Lepisosteus oculatus: one gene and its partner. The protein of the gene in region 2 interacts with the protein of the main gene of each other region in a pairwise test. Links are inferred from orthologs where the notes say so. Each region holds a gene or a part of one and is shown on either strand. Other genes may lie near its edges.

The links.
Region 1: the proteins of sh3bp5a (region 2) and son of sevenless homolog 1 interact in a two-hybrid assay, tested with the Homo sapiens proteins (2 studies listed by BioGRID and IntAct). The link is inferred for Lepisosteus oculatus from reciprocal best matches to the Homo sapiens genes SH3BP5 and SOS1.

Annotation. Positions count from the first base shown.
Region 1 is NC_090712.1:4,595,729-4,603,658, forward strand, and holds the start of son of sevenless homolog 1, read left to right. Parts: upstream 1-4,909; 5' UTR 4,910-5,159; exon of another isoform or gene 5,160-5,366; intron 5,367-5,460; exon of another isoform or gene 5,461-5,803; 5' UTR 5,804-5,862; coding exon 5,863-5,949; intron 5,950-7,930. Other genes in the region: retinol dehydrogenase 13, read right to left, coding at 1,359-1,514, 2,018-2,136, 3,512-3,576.
Region 2 is NC_090705.1:41,677,989-41,685,631, forward strand, and holds the start of sh3bp5a (SH3 domain-binding protein 5), read left to right. Parts: upstream 1-4,569; 5' UTR 4,570-4,702; intron 4,703-4,977; exon of another isoform or gene 4,978-5,129; intron 5,130-5,139; exon of another isoform or gene 5,140-5,543; intron 5,544-5,730; exon of another isoform or gene 5,731-5,762; 5' UTR 5,763-5,868; coding exon 5,869-5,982; intron 5,983-7,630; coding exon 7,631-7,643. Other genes in the region: tRNA N(3)-methylcytidine methyltransferase METTL6, read left to right, coding at 370-540, 821-962, 1,251-1,390. UniProt on the Homo sapiens protein: Functions as a guanine nucleotide exchange factor (GEF) with specificity for RAB11A and RAB25. Inhibits the auto- and transphosphorylation activity of BTK. Plays a negative regulatory role in BTK-related cytoplasmic signaling in B-cells.

The sequences.
Region 1 (7,930 bases), on a different chromosome or scaffold from region 2:
TTCTGACTCAACAACAGTTGGCAGTGTTGACCCACATCTCGAATTTCCCTTTAGGGACAAGATTCATCTGTCCCATATTCATCTCGTAATTTACCCCTCTGCAAGCTGTCTTTCCCACAGTCCATAAATGAGCATTTTGCCCTTTAGAGATCTCATTCCCTTACTAGAATTGTGACATTTAAATAAACAATAATATATTACTTTACAATTATGAAGTGTTCCATGGACTCTGTCACTGCTTGCACTTCTGTGAGAGACTCAGTTTGAATACACTAGCTTTTAAAAACTGATAATAATTCCTTATATTTATATAGCACTCTTCTGGACACTCCACTCAAAGTGCTTTACAGGTAATGGGGATTCCCCTCCACCACCAGCAGTGTGCAGCCCCACCTGGATGATGCAACAGCAGCCATAGTGCGCCAGTACGCTCACCACACACCAGCTCTCAGTGGGGAGGAGAGCAGAGTAATGAAGCCAGTTCAGAGATGGGGATTACCAGGAGGCCCTGATTGGTAAAGGGCAATGGAAAATTTGGCCAGGAGACCAGGATAACACCCCTACTCATTTCAAGAAACGCCCTGGGATTTTTAATGACATTTCTTACAAGTGCAGGGAGTCTGGAACAAGCTACCTAGCCAGCAGTGGCTCTGTGGCTAAGGATCTGCGCCTGTGGCTGGAAGGTTGCAGGTTCAAATCCTACTCCGTTGGGCTCCTGAGCAAGGCCCTTAACTCCAACTGCTCCAGGGGAGCTGTACAATGGCTGACCCTGCGCTCTGACCCCAAGCTTGTCTCTGTCTGTGTCTCATGGAGAGCAAATTGGAGTATGCAAAAAAAGACAAATTCCTAATGCAAGAAATTGTATACTCTTAGGGAGTCAGGACCTTGGTTTTATGTCTCATCTGAAGGACGGCGCCTTTTTACAGTATAGTGTCCCCGTCAATATACCAGGGCATTAGGGCCCACACAGACCCCTACTGGCCCCACTAACACCTCTTCCAGCAGCAGCCTTAGTTTTTCCCAGGAGGTCTCACATCCAGGTACTGACCAGGCTCACACCTGCTGAGCTTCAGTGGGGTCGCCAGTTGTGAGTTGCAGGGTGATATAGCCGCTGGCTGATAAGATAGACAACTGCTAGCATCGTGTATTGAGGAAGGACACACAAGAGGCACAAGCCCTGAAGAATTCAGATTTCAGAGGGACCTGGTGTTTCAGGTCCAGATTTCCGAGTTGCTGGATGCAGAGCCTGCTTCCTGTAGACAGCACAGGGAACAACTCAATCCGCAGCTCGGAGCCTCTGTACCATCCACGTGATCAGAGCTGCAGTCAGCAGTACAATGTTGAAATCAGATTCCTACCCTGATTGATCTTCTGTACAAATTCCCTGATGGACTTCAGGGAGGCCAGGTCCACATGCCGGGCGTGGACGTTCCGATTCAAAGTGTCCCCTCGGATTTCTCTGGCCGCCTCCTCACACTTCTCCATGTCCCGGCACCCCAGGATGATACGGCCTCCTTTCAGGAAAGAATTCTGAAAACGTTTAGCACAACGAGAGGGAATGCAGACAAAGGGGACTGCTTCTCAAATACATCGTTTCAATGTTGTTGTCTCGGTTGTAAACATCTTAAAACGCTTTATTGCGGTTTCCCCTTTTCCATACTTGCTACAAAAAGCGCTGTAAACTGTTTGTAAAGAACCAAGTCTAAAACGTCACCCTGCAGTTTCTTATGGTCACTACAGTTAAAAGATCATACTAACAACTTCCTTGGTTTTCTTCCTCAGACCGACTGCTGTACTTCAGGCTAATACATTCAATTCACAGGGGTCGACATGCTTAGCATTTTCATATGGTGCAGTGAATGAACACCAGACTCTAAGGAAAGAGGAGATGTTTTTTGGTTTTGGAATGTGCCAGGATTGATTTTCATTGCCACAAATACCAGAGAGAAACCGAGACTTTCCCATGCTACTTCATAGTTTGTTTTTACGGCACGTCCCAGGATGAAGGATTCCTCACCTCTCCTGGCCAGATCCCTGGCAGTCTCTTTTCCTATGCCTGTGTTTGCTCCAGTAATGATGACCGTCTTGCCAGTGATCTTCGCTTTACTGGGACAAACACCCCCGCTAAAGTAGTCCCTAGAAAAAGACAAAGAAATCTGGAGGTTCTGCTTGGTTCAGCAGACTACACCCGCTCCATCACTAGAGCACAGCCCTGCTGGTACACCTTAACACAGCTAAGAGGACTGGGCGATTGTGCGCAAAGAGTCTTGTTCAGGAGTATGAAGAGCTGCAAGGTGGGGACTCGAACCCACAACCAAAGGACAAGAGGCCAGAACCCTAGCCTCTCTGCACCCCTCCAATTTAAAATGCAAGTTCCTGTTGGGCGTCAATTTACCATCTTTGTAACACGGCAACACTGCTGCGGAGACTGCTGTTTCTACACCTCAGTCCAGCTGCTCCAGTCCTCTGTGTTGGACAAACAGGTACAAGCTGTGATGTGGGAAAGCTGCACTATATCGGCGTTCCATCCAGAGGAGAATCACTCCCTGCCGGTCTGCTCACCGCTACAGAAACAAGGACAGGCTCTGCCACGGGGAGCTCTAGGCTCAGGTAGGAACTGTGCGTGGGCATTATGGTACAGTGAGGGATTTAACACAGCAATCCTCAGGTGTCCCATCAAAACTGCAGATGAAAGGCCCTTTCAGTGCAACTCTTGGCCTCCTGTGAATGACTTTCCCTTGCACCGTTTAAAACAACGCGTTTCTTTCTTAACGTGAGGATGTTTTCAGTGAGCATGCTCACCACTGAGAATAACAGAAGAGTGCTGCATTTATTTTGGACAGGTTTGACATCACCCCCCACCACCACCTTTGAGTCAAAGCATGAAGCCATGCCACGTTTAAAAACGTTTCGCTTTCTGAAAACAAGCCACGATAAAACGCTCACGATAACAGCTGGACTTTAAGGGTGGGGGGGGATGCATTTGACTGATGGGGAGACAGATCTTTATACCAACATCAATTCTAAAACTGAACGTTCTTCGAATCTGTCTTCAGCTAACTATATACGGGGCTACGTACACCACACACACGCCCACGTTACCGAAACCATGTCAGGGCTGCGTGACCTTGGGATACTTGAGACTTTCTGCTGAGGTTTTTCAAAAGTACACACAAGATCGGGAATGGCAGGATAAGTGGGTATCTATGCAAACGCACGAGCAGTGACAGTTCATCTATGAAGGATAGACAGCGACACGGGCATTCGACTCACGAGTTCATTTCTAATGCAGGTAAAAACCGCTGGACGCCTCCATCGTACACATGGCTTTACGGACGCGTTACGGTTTCACAGTGGGCACCAACACGCTGCAAATCGATAATACCGGCCATTATTATCATTTCAAAGAGCGAATGTAAACAGAAACAACGAATGGCAATTTTCTGCAGAGTACGATACAACAGCATCTTGAATGTGCTCACTGCACGCAGCTCCACGATCTGCTACTTACTTTATCAGAACAGCGCTACCAATTACAGTCCCCATTACAGACACAGGTAAAATGTACTTATTCATTATTAAAGATGTAAAAATAACTAAATGCACAAGCAGGACGCCCCCGTTCCCGCAGAGATTAAAATCTAATCTGGGTCTTCCTTGTTTCCTCGTGTACAATTAAACGCAAAAGTGATTGACGCTCATAAGCGTCCAATTGGCAATCAAGACCTGTGCAACCTGACCAATCAAGTAAAAGTAGATTTCATAAACAAAGACACACGCGAAAGCGCTCATGGGAGTTGTAGTTCAAAGAAGAGAGTAAAATGTACTGTTTTGAGGGTGAGCTACGTACTGTAGGTAAAATGTCCAGTTTTAAAAATATTAAGAAACGCTGATTTATATATAACTACACATAAGCGTCATAATGAAATGACTTAAATAATAATAATAATACATTTAATTAAATAATAATAAATATATAGCCAACAGCCATATCACAGCTGGCTGCCCACTGGAGTTTAGCAGGAGTGTACCTGGCTGGGAGACCTCTTGGGAAAGCTAAGGCTGCTGCTGGAAGAGGTGTTAGTGGGGCCAGCAGGGGGCGCTCACCCTGCAGTCTGTGAGGGTCCTAATGCCCCAGTATAGTGACAGGGACACTATACTGTAAAAAGGTGCTGTCCTTTGGCTGAGACTTAAAACTGAGATCCTGACTGTCTGTGGTCATTAAAAATCCCAGGGCATTTCTTGAAAAGAGTAGGGTTGTTACCCCAGCATCCTGGCCCAAATTCCCCCATTAGGAGTCATGGCCTCCTAATAAACCCCATCTCTGAACTGGCTTCATCACACTGTTCTCCTCCCCACTGAAGGCTGGTGTGTGGAGAGCGTACAGGTGCACTATAGCTGCCATCGCATCATACAGGTGGGGCTGCACACTGGTGTTGGTGGAGGGGAGTCCCCATTACCTGTAAAGTACTCTACTCATTGATAAGAGTGTCCAGAAAAGTACTATATAAGTGTAAGGAATTATTTTTGTATATTTTCATAGGTGTCAGTAAAGATGTAACAATAATAAAGTTTGCTAAAACTAAAACTACATTCATTTATTCTGAAGTTGAGAGAAATCAGAGAATTTCTCCGAAGTCATCTGAAGCAGTAGAATAAATGTAATCAAACACAGCTAAAATAGACAATACCGACCCATTGAGTTATAATACAAAAACAAAATATTTAGTACATTTGTGTTTCAAGAGCTGCTCCTCTTGACCTCTACCAGGGGATGTACGGTACTCGGCTGTTCACGGCTGGGGGCGCTGTCTCGGCACCTCGCAGGAGCAGGGACTCGATTTCCCGGCGCTCCATTGCTCCTGCCTGCGCCCTTTCACCTCCCCCAGCTCTCATTCCGTGTGGGGGAGGGGGGAGTGAGGGGAAGACAACGCAGAAGGCATCCAGTGCGCATGCTCCTTCCTTGTTCCAGCTACAACTGCACCCGAGCCATAACAATCGTCCGAATTAACCACTTTGGGCGAAAGATACTGAAATTAAAGGGGGCTGCGGCACGGGGACTCAGGTTAGCCTCCACCCCCCACAGAGAAAACCGTCTGGCCGGGAGACACCCACCAGATAATGAAAATACTAACGTTAAGTTCATGGAGGATTACAAGGTGAGCCTCCCTCCCTTCCTTCTGCTGGAGAGAAGATTCGGAGAAAATGGGCGATTATGTACAGAAGAGGGTTTTTTCCCCCAAACCGAGGAGGATTTGCTCCCACCGGCCGTCTGAAAGGAGCGTCGCCTACTGAGGCGCCGCTCGGTTGGCGGTGACAGATTTCGAGTTTTGTTTTGCGGATTTCTACGAGAGGAGTGAAAACAGGTTCGGGAGGGGAGGTGTGCGTGTGGGGGGGGGCGGGGAAGGGGATCTTTATTATTATTATTATTATTGTTGTTGTTGTTGTTGTTGTCGTCAGTGTACATAGTTCATAGCCGTGCTCTTGCGGAGCCTGTGCGAAGGCGGACCCGGCGGGCAGTGTCCGTTAACCGCCCAGCGGCGCGGGGCAGCGCTCGAACATCTGCACGCGGCCGGGGATCGCCGCCGCGAGCTGGGATGCGTGCGGGAGCGACGTCCTAGCTCACCGCGCGCCGCCCGCCCGCTCTCCGACACTGTTGACTGCGACGGCTTTTTGCTTTTAGATTTTTTATTATTTTTTTGCTCCTCCACGCTATAACCAACCGAACCAACCAACACCCCCCCCCCCCTCCCCACCCCTGGGCTCCCTCTCCTCCTCCTCCCTCCCGTTTTGATGTGAGAAGCGACAGGGAAAAGCAGCAGCGCTCTGGCTCCGCTACAGCCTGTGAAGAGAGCACCAGCCATGCAAGCGCCCCAACTCCAGTACGACTTCTTCAGCGACGACAACGCGCCGAAATGGCGGGGGTTGCTGGTGCCCTCCCTGAATAAGGTAAGCCGGGGGCTGTGGGGATCCAGAGTGGGGCGTGTGGGGCGTGTAGTGAAGCGGCCGTCGGAGCCGCCCGCGATGTGGTCCTGTCAGTGCGGGTCGGAGGTGAGGCTGGCGTTGCCGTGAGCAATGCTAAATCATCTCTCGCCGACGATGGCCGGATCACAGAAATGGGGCCGGGGGAACGCCGCTCATCCAATATTATTAAGCGGCCTTCGGTCGCCTTGCAGGGTCTGGAGGGACAGCTTGGCCTGACCGGCGAGCCGAGCCCGGACCCGTCACCGGCTTGGCTGTCCACTCGCCTCGGGCTCGGCCCGCTGAGGTGCTGCTCCAGCCAGCTGTGTTGATAAATATATCGCCCAGGGACAGGCGTGCTGTCACCTCGGGTGGGAAGTGTGTGTTTTGTGGCCGCATTTCCTGTGATCGCACTGACACAAGGCTGCGGTCATTCCCACTGAGAAGCTTACCGTCAGCGCTTCGTTCTGTGGTACATTACTTGCATGCTTGCAGCAAGGCCCGTGTATGGCCGTTTACAGAAGTCCCGTGTTGTCACTGTTGTAACAGTCAGCTGATGGTGCGCTGGTGGTTTATTGTCACTGTAGGGTCTCCTGCTGAAACAACTGAACCTGATCATCTGAACCTTTGTAATAGAACATTTCTGATTTTTCTTTGTTTATGTAACAGACCAATTCAACTTAAAAGTTTTCCGGGAATTTTTAGGTTTGTTGAGGAGTCAATTTCTAAGATTATCATTCTATTAGATATATTGAGCATATATACCAAGGGGATGTGTAGTACTTATGGGCAGGTTATATCAATCTGTGCAGTTCAGGTTTTGTGCACTTTAGATCATTTTAAAATAATACCATTCTTATGATATAGAAGCTGTCTGTTTGACTCAGTGATTTTGCTTATTAATTTTGTGACAATTGGTTTATAGGTTTGAGGAAAATATGCTTAGGTGTTATTTTAACTACTACACGAGACTGTTTTTCTAAGGGCAGTAACCTTTGGGTATAACTTCAGGGTCGCAGCATGTTTTGTGTGTAATTGTAAGCTGGGGATTTAGCATGCATTTTACTAACAAACCTAGTTTGTTTAATAGGAAGTTTGTCTGTGAATTATTCTTATCTAAAATTAGTATTTTTTAGTGTATGCATGCATTGTCATTTGCATTCAGTTTTAAGAGATAAATATAGGACTAGCATTATGGGCATCTGTTTTATTTGCACAATATTGCAAATAAATAGGGAAGTAATATGCAGTTTCATGTTGTTATCAGAGTGAATGCTTTCATTTCTAATTGATTCCCCTCACAGGGCTCATCAAATTGCATCTTGTTTCTGAACCTTTCCTTTTTCTGGTGTGTGTATATACAGCCTCAGTCTATTGTGCAATTGTAAGTGTTACAAGCAGTCCATTTAATTGGATTAGGCAACATTAAATCAAGTTTCAAAACAATATGTATAGATTTCCCAATGCCATAAATAAGCATGCAGGGGTAGCACAGTTGCATGGCAGTTAGTGCTGCTTCCTCACAGCTCCAGGACCTGGGATTGGGCATCTGTCTGTGTGGAGTCTGCATGCTCTTATCTAGCTTGTAAGGATTTTCTTCTGGTTTTCTAGTTTACTCCCACTTCCCACTGTCACGTTCTCTGTAGCCCTGTAATCGATTGGAATGGGGAAAAGCCTGAAATGTGTTCTCTTGAAGTACGTAATTACTTTGTAGCGTTTGTTACATGGTACTAATAGATTGTTACAGCTTTGTGAATTGATTGAAAATCCAAAAGCCAGATGGCATTCCAAATGCAGAAGTGAGTAGGGCGTCACTTATCTGGGAATAAGTGATGTGGGTGTGGGAGACAGCACGTGCCTTGCTCCTCAGCTCATGAGCTCACTCGGAATTGGTCTTCCAAATGTACAGGCAAGTGAAAGGGAGCTCTTATTGAGTAGAGAAAAGGGACTAACATGTCTGTGGACTGAA
Region 2 (7,643 bases):
ACTTTGAAATGATGTATCATAAAAAGCACTATACTCCCATTGTGCTCAGACTCTTTTGAAGCATGATAATGTACAATGTTTATCAGTAAACCATCTGAATGTTTTAAAGTAGTTCAGGTGGAGAGCTGCGTCAGCATGTGTAGGCTGCAAAGGAACAAGTAATAGGTTTATTCCATGCTGAAAGGAGAAGAAAGAAAACACAATGTTTCGGCTGTGGAGCCTTCTTCAGGTGGAAGGATTTGGGTGTTCTTCGGGTGTTCCTCACCCCTATAACTTGTTCCTTTGAATATATTAAATATGGCTTAGTGTGAGATCGTGTTTTTCTAGTCTATTATAATGTATCTGTTTGATGCCACTGTTTTAATTCAGCAAAACCCCTTGTACAACGCCGAGAGATGCGAGGCTTTCCAGTGTGACCTGACCAAGGATGAGTTGTCAAAGAATATCCCACTGGAAAGTGTGAATGCTGCCACCCTCATATTCGTGCTGTCTGCTATACACCCAGACAGAATGCGCCTGGCCCTTGAAAACATCTACAGAGTAAGTACAGAAGTGGTCTTCCTCTCAGTGAAGAAAAAGAAGGTTTAAATGGCTCAAGCTAGAATCTTTCTCCATTAAATCTTCTCCATATACAGTGCCTTGCAAAAGTATTCACCCCCCTTGGACTTTTTTACGTTTTATTGTGTTACAGCATGGAACCATGATGTATTTAACTAAGACTTTTTGCCACTCATCAACACAAAGTCCTCTATAATGTCAAAGTTCCACGCTGTAAGACAATATGATATTTTGTTTTGTTTTTCTTCATCGGGGTGGGCAGGTCTTGAAACCAGGGGGCACTGTCTTGTTCAGGGACTACGGACTGCACGATCACGCCATGTTGAGGTTTAAATCCGGGAGCAAGCTTGGAGAGAACTTCTATGTGAGGCAAGATGGTACCAGATCGTTCTTCTTTTCTAAAGGTGAGTAGCAGACATTCTCAAGCCATCGATGCTGTTCTGTCACCCTTTCAACTTCAGGTTCTCTAAAAAAAATTAAAACACATTTTAGTAGCCAAGCCTAAGCAGGGGCAAGATAGGATTTATACAAAAAAGACATAAACACAAAACAAATTTGCTGTACTGTATAGCTATAACTACTACATACATAGTTATATAAAAATAGAAAGAATGAAAGGCTTTCTCTATATGTGATGTTTTATAGTGTGTAAAACCTGCCTTTTATTTTGTTCCTTGTACTTTTCTGTCTAGAGTTCCTGGAGGATCTGTTTACAGCGGTGGGTTACGAGACCCTGGTGAACGAGTACGTCCTCAGAGAAACTGTCAACAAGAGAGAGGGGCTTTGTGTCCCAAGAGTTTTTCTTCAAGGCAAATTCAAGAAGCCACTCTGACAAACAGCCTGATGGTGATGCTGCTACTCGGAAAGAAAAGACTTTGTATCTGAAAAAACCCAGGAGGGATTTTATTTGTGAATTTCTTGGCAGAATTCTAACCGATCTCATTCTTCTGACCAGCATAGGATTTCATGTCCATTTTAAATACAACACTTTACCTGCTTGTGGAAGGGAGCCTTAAGGTTTTCACAGCTCAAGTGATTTTATCTCGGAAAGAAGAATTCTCTATTTAAATTATCTTTTGATGTGTATGCAAAGACCTGTAATGAAACATGTGTATCGTGTTTCCACTGTACTGTTTTTGTTAAATAAAAAAAAAAGCAAGGATAAGAGGATTAAACATCTCACGGATCTTCCAGCACACTGTTGAGCCAGTCTGGAAGATTACAGGGCTAAGGTGTTTCCACAGATGCTGTAAAAGAATGCAGTGTGGAGTAATGGTTAGAACTGTGTTCTCCTGACGGCTGGGACAGGGGTTCAGATCCCTAGAGTCCAGATTGCTCCAGCAAACTCTGCTCTGTCGATATCGAATTTTGATGTTCAATGATGTTTTTAGCATTTTTTAGGTTATTTGATGTGCTACAAGTATCTGCAGAAAACAAGGCAAGGTGTGGGTCATCTTTGTCCAGGCAGAAAGGTACTTTATATATTCTCATCCTTGAACTCTAAATCTCAGCACACACCTTTTTCCTTCCTGGTGATATCCACAAGGAATTCTGTGTGCCCGAGCTGTGGTGTTTGTGATGTGCGTTTTCCTTCCCAGTAACTCGTGGTCTGGCTGTCATGCCTCCAGAGCCCGGGATAGGGCTTTTTTTGGGACGCGTCTAGTCCTGTCGTCCTGTCTGGCACCACTGGTGCCTCTTGCTCGCAGTGAAATGTCACATCCTCGATTATGTCCTTCCTGTTCAGACAGGTTTCGGATGCAAGGCCAGTTCGATATTCCTTTAGAGGATGTGCATTACAGGACGGGAGTATGAAAGCTGAGAGAAGGAGCAGGGCATATTACTCCCAGGCGGCAGGAGACGCTGAAACATGTGTTTTTAGTTGCCTGGTTGACTGTATGAGTCCAGTTTAGAAAATCATTTCCATGGTCTAAAGTTGAAATGAAGCCCCACACAACCTGTCAGTTTCAGTCTTCATTTTGAATGGCTGTCTTGGACTCTGAGTGGGAAGCCCAGTGGGTAAGTGCCAGTACTCATGCAGACAGTGCTGCTGTACCCCTGAGAGAGGCACTGTACCCCAGTGGCTCCAGCCCGCCCAGCTGTGTAAATGGGGGACTGGCACTGCTGGGAGTAATCCCTGATTTTCTCTCCCGTCCTGGGGGATGTCACTTGCTCTTGCTCTACTCTGCTTAACCCTCCAGAAACCAGGATGAGCTCCGCCCTGATGCGCCCCTGCAGCTCAAATATGGAAATTGCCTACCTACCGTTGGCACAAGAATCAACACACTCTGTTACATACACAAGCAAATTATTGGTGAACTTTTTGTAGGGATAGGAAGTGATTGGGAATGGACCGTTTTCGGATGTGTACAGTAATTGATCCAGCTCACAGATTCAACCAGAAAATCGAACGTGAGCTTGTGGTGGAGACTGAAGTACGTTTATGCCGGAAGTACAGTAGATCGTGTAGGAAAGTAGGGAAGGAAGAGGTGGGGAGTTGGAATGCTTTACATCCTGTTGTATCGGGATTTGTTGGAGAACAAGTCCAGTATGACATCAAATCAAATTGCTTTGCTGCCACTTTAGGGACCTTCAGCAGAGGTACACAAACTTTCAGTCTGGCCCTTGTCCTGCCCTCAGATTTGTCGTCTCAGGTAAAGAGGTTGTAGCTGCGGGCTGTGTGAGCTGAGCTGAAAGTCTGGGGTCTAGTCGGGGAGAAAAGTGTGGTCCAGCCAAGTGTGCAGCAGGACCACTCAGTGCAAGCAGGGCTTGAAGTTCGTGGTGAACAAGGGAGCTGCTGACTAAAGCAGGTCTCTCTGCGCCAGAAGCTCACGGCACAGCTGCAGGGAGAAGGCGTTGCCTCCATGATCATGACACATTAATCTGAGGTCATGGGTTTTCTGCGTAGACAGTGGCGGATTCCAGCACTATTCACAGAAATCTGTACCCAGCTTTTGTAACTGATCTAAGAGCTCACCAAATAAAAAAACATTTTGCCTGTCCTTGGATGAAGAACACATTACGCCCATTATTGTTTCCTTGGTTACCAAATAATCCCAACAACAAAAAGAGCCTTATTAAGAGGAAGAGATGTTTGGTATAAATTGACAGCACAGTGGCCCTGGAGGAAAATTGAAAAATTGTATTTTGTACTGTATTACAGCAGTGCATCATCTGGGATTTGATTTAATTCCTGGATGTAATTCCTAATTACAAACCAGGGGCTCTAACCAGTACTCCCACAATTTTAATAAAACCACCTATTCGGATCAGACTTTTTCAGGTTTCCAAAGTTCTCTGTTTTTGCCTGATAAAAGCTCTCTACGGCTATCCACAGCTGCTTAAACTTCATACTTTTTCATCACAATCCTACCCCTATCTCTAGGATCTGTGGGTCAAATGCTCCCAGAGGGGTCTTTAATGATGTGGCCTGGTGTGCCTCCTATTTCAGAACCGCTCTTGACAACACAGAACGGTAGAGATACAGAATTACGTGTGAATATTGTGCCATATAAGAGTGGTGTTAGTGATAGGAGAGTGTGTAACCGTGGGGTTAGTAGATAGGAGAGTGTGTAACAGTGGGGTTAGTAGATAAGAGAGAGCAATATGGCAGTTGTAACAGCAAATTGGCACCAGAAATGAGTAGAGTGCTGAAACAACTATTTTGGCTTTAATGTGGACATTAATTTGACTGTCATCTTCATAGAAATGCAATTCTGACAACGTAATTTTAGTATTGCACCAAGGAGAAACTGTAATGTACAGGTTAATACTGAATAGCAAATAATACCGAATAAGTACTGAAATAGCAGAGCGCCTGGTGTTGAACCCTGTGAAGCGCCAGACCTAACAGCCTCAGAAGTAAACCCAAGAGAAACAAGAAGATCACCGTGTAACAAGAGGCAGGGTATGACCGGAACCTCTTCAGGACAGCACCAGAGATTGTAAACAAACTCTCCCATCCAGTATGTTGAACGTCATGACTTAACAGTATTGAATTCAGAGTTCAGGGAGTCATTTATATGATCAGTTCAGATGGGGAGCTGCGTCAGCGTGCGTAGTCTGCCAAGGAACAAGTAACAGGTTTATTCCATGCTGAAAAGGGAAGAGAGAAAACACAACGTTTCGGCTGAGAAGCCTTCTTCAGGTAATTTATATCATTATGTTTGCTACACACCAGAGATACGAGACCAAAATAAAACAAACTGAATAGAGCAATAACAGCAATCAGGAGGAGGCTGCTGTTTTATACACTCTTCTTTTCTATACTCAGCTTTTCATTTTTTCCTATACCGGTGTACAGTATAAGACCAACAGCATTACAGAGCAATTGCGCAACGCCAGTTCACAATAAAGCCCTTCCGTCATTGCTTAATTTAGGTTTCAGATGTGCTCCGTCTACCGACCGCTAGGGAGAGACAGACCACTCTTTTCCTCTGGAGAAAACTTGGGGAACGTCGGCTTCAACTCTCTCCTATCCGTGGGGTTTAGTAACCCCCCTGTCAGTGAGATTACAGGACATGACTGCTGTAATTACTGCAGTGTGTACTATAACTCAAGAGAGCGGAAGACAGGTACTGCAGGATTAGTTGGGACCTCTGCGTGCTTAATATAGCAGTTTATTGCCATGTGATTTGCGCTGAGATGTAAACGGAGAGGAGTGCGCGATCCGATTATTAACAGCATAGCAAAACAGGGAGGACATCCATTAATTACAATAGGCGGCCGGCCCGGTCGAAAGGGTTAATCGTTTTTTTCCGATTTCATCGCCATCGCTTTTGTGTGCTTGGAGGGAGGGGGGGGCCGGCAGAAGGATCCGGAGACGAGAGGGGAAGCCTTCTGGATCAAGTCGGAGCGCAGCGGGCGTCGCCACACCGTGCGGGGCCGCAGATGACACGGAGGACGGCGGCTTGCTTCCTGCGTCGTGCGCCGTTCCCTTCGATTCGCGGAGCCAAATAAGAGCCCGGCAGGAAAATTACAATATTTCTGTACGTCCATCTCGGGGATTGCCTAGCAAAATCTGGAAAGGGGGGCGGGGATAGGCGGAGCGCTCAGGTTCTTATTTCAAGCCAGTTTGTCCGGAGAAAGGGGCACCTCCTGTGTTTCAGCTTCCTTGAGGGTTTTGAATGTTGCAGACCTCAGCTAATCCTTAACTCCTTGCGTTTGTGTTTAAAGATATCTTTTCCCCATATGCCTTATTGCTGAAGTGGTGTGGAGGGAACCAGAGTGGTCGCGGCGGCGCTTGGAGAACGACCTCAGCCTCCCCAGTTTCCGACCTGGGGAAAGGGAAAAGACATTACTGCATTCAGCAAAATGGACAGCGTGGAAAAGGGACCCAAATCAGACGAAGAGATTGAGTCGCCGGATGAAGAAGAAGAAGAGGAGGAAGCAGCAGCAGAAGAAGAAGAAGTCGACCCTAGAATTCAGGTACGCGGATGCAATATATATATATATTCCCGAGTTTGGTGGTGTGTTTTTTTTTTTTGCGTCGTTGTGTTGCGCTGACCTGCTCTGAAGACGTGGACGCACTGTATGGATTGGCGGTGGCGTGTGTATCCTGTTGCCCGTGTGGGCTCAGGTTTGTGCCTTGCGGGGCTGTAATGTGGCTGACAACTGACTGGTGGCGGGTCTGTGTTGCCCCGTCAAGAGTCTTTCAGCCTCCCTGTGCCCGAACAGCATCTCCCCGGCGCGGAGCTTCGCTGTCTCCGGGCGCAGTCAGTGCGCCGTGGCCGCGGAGCAGAGTCGGTCTTATCGGCCAAATGTTGTCATGGACTAGGATGTATCGCCACGTTTGAGTCGATCTATTCCTAATAAACGAGAATAAAACAAAGTCTTTTTTTTATTATAACAGTAGGCCCTTAACACTAACCCTACGATCTTGATGAGATAAAGGGAATCATTTTTAATTCCATGTCATTAGCCCTTCTACAGAAGCTCCGTTTTTGCACCGTAATGGTCCTCAATAGTACTACATTTGATTTAGCGGAATTAATCTTGCAGCCGCGCTTAATTACTGTACTGATGCTATCAGTGTCTGTCAACTCAAGCCGTTTTTCTGCTCTTTGTTAACGGACAGACGCCAACAAAAGTATGCAAGCAGACTGGATTACGCGTACATGCTAGAGAGGTCGTTGTTTTTATGCTTGCTAGGGTTGTGAGCCTTTTTATTGCTTTTGTCATCCAGTTCATGTAATTGATAAGAACAGGAAAGAATGCTGCTTGCAGTGTGTTGTCAATTCATACTGACCAGTGTCAGTCAACGCTTTGTGCTTTGAATTAATCATTACATTGTTGGAGTAACTGGGCATTTCTTTAACTGCTCTTTCTTTTCTAACCAATTCTGCTATACCGTCCTTCTCTTTTCTGTAATATGTGTACCTTTCAGAGTTCTCACATTTGTTTTACATCTGCCCACAGAAGCATGAAATATTCTTTCATTTGGAGCTGTCGGTGGGATGAGCTCTCTTTTTAAGAGGAGTGCTGGCTGTACTCTTATGATATGGTGTCTTTGGGGCGTTGTAATTGCTTAATTACCATCTCCAGCAATGGAGCTGAAGAAAGAACACAGTGGAGTTAGCGCTGCATTAAGACAACTAAACTGTGAATCTGTCACTCTTGTGTCCGAACGCGTTTTATTCAAATGTTTCTAGTGCGGGTTTTAGCTCCGTGAATATTTTATAGATCTGCTGGTCTTTGGTGCAAGGAAAACGGCGAAAAAAAAAGACATCTTTTTAAAGTGAGGATTTTCATGTTATTGAATTCATAGTTTTTAGTGACAGCTGCTCCGTGCTCAAGTTTGTGTTTTGTAGCTGACATACAGGTCTTAATGAACATTACTAATGAAATTAAACAGCGACTGCTTTTCCTTCCTTGCCTGTAAGTCTTGCAGTGGCGGACGGGTAGTAACAGCTGGTAGGAAATGGCGTTTTGTTTTTTTTTTAAGCCAGTTTTACACTGTGTCTCTGGGAAAATGTTTAATCAAAGCTTTCTTTGCCAGATTTAACAAGCTCCGTATGCGTCTTGTTTCCTTTCCACGGTTAATGATGTCTTCTCTCTTTCCCCTACCCCTCAACAGGGTGAACTCGAAA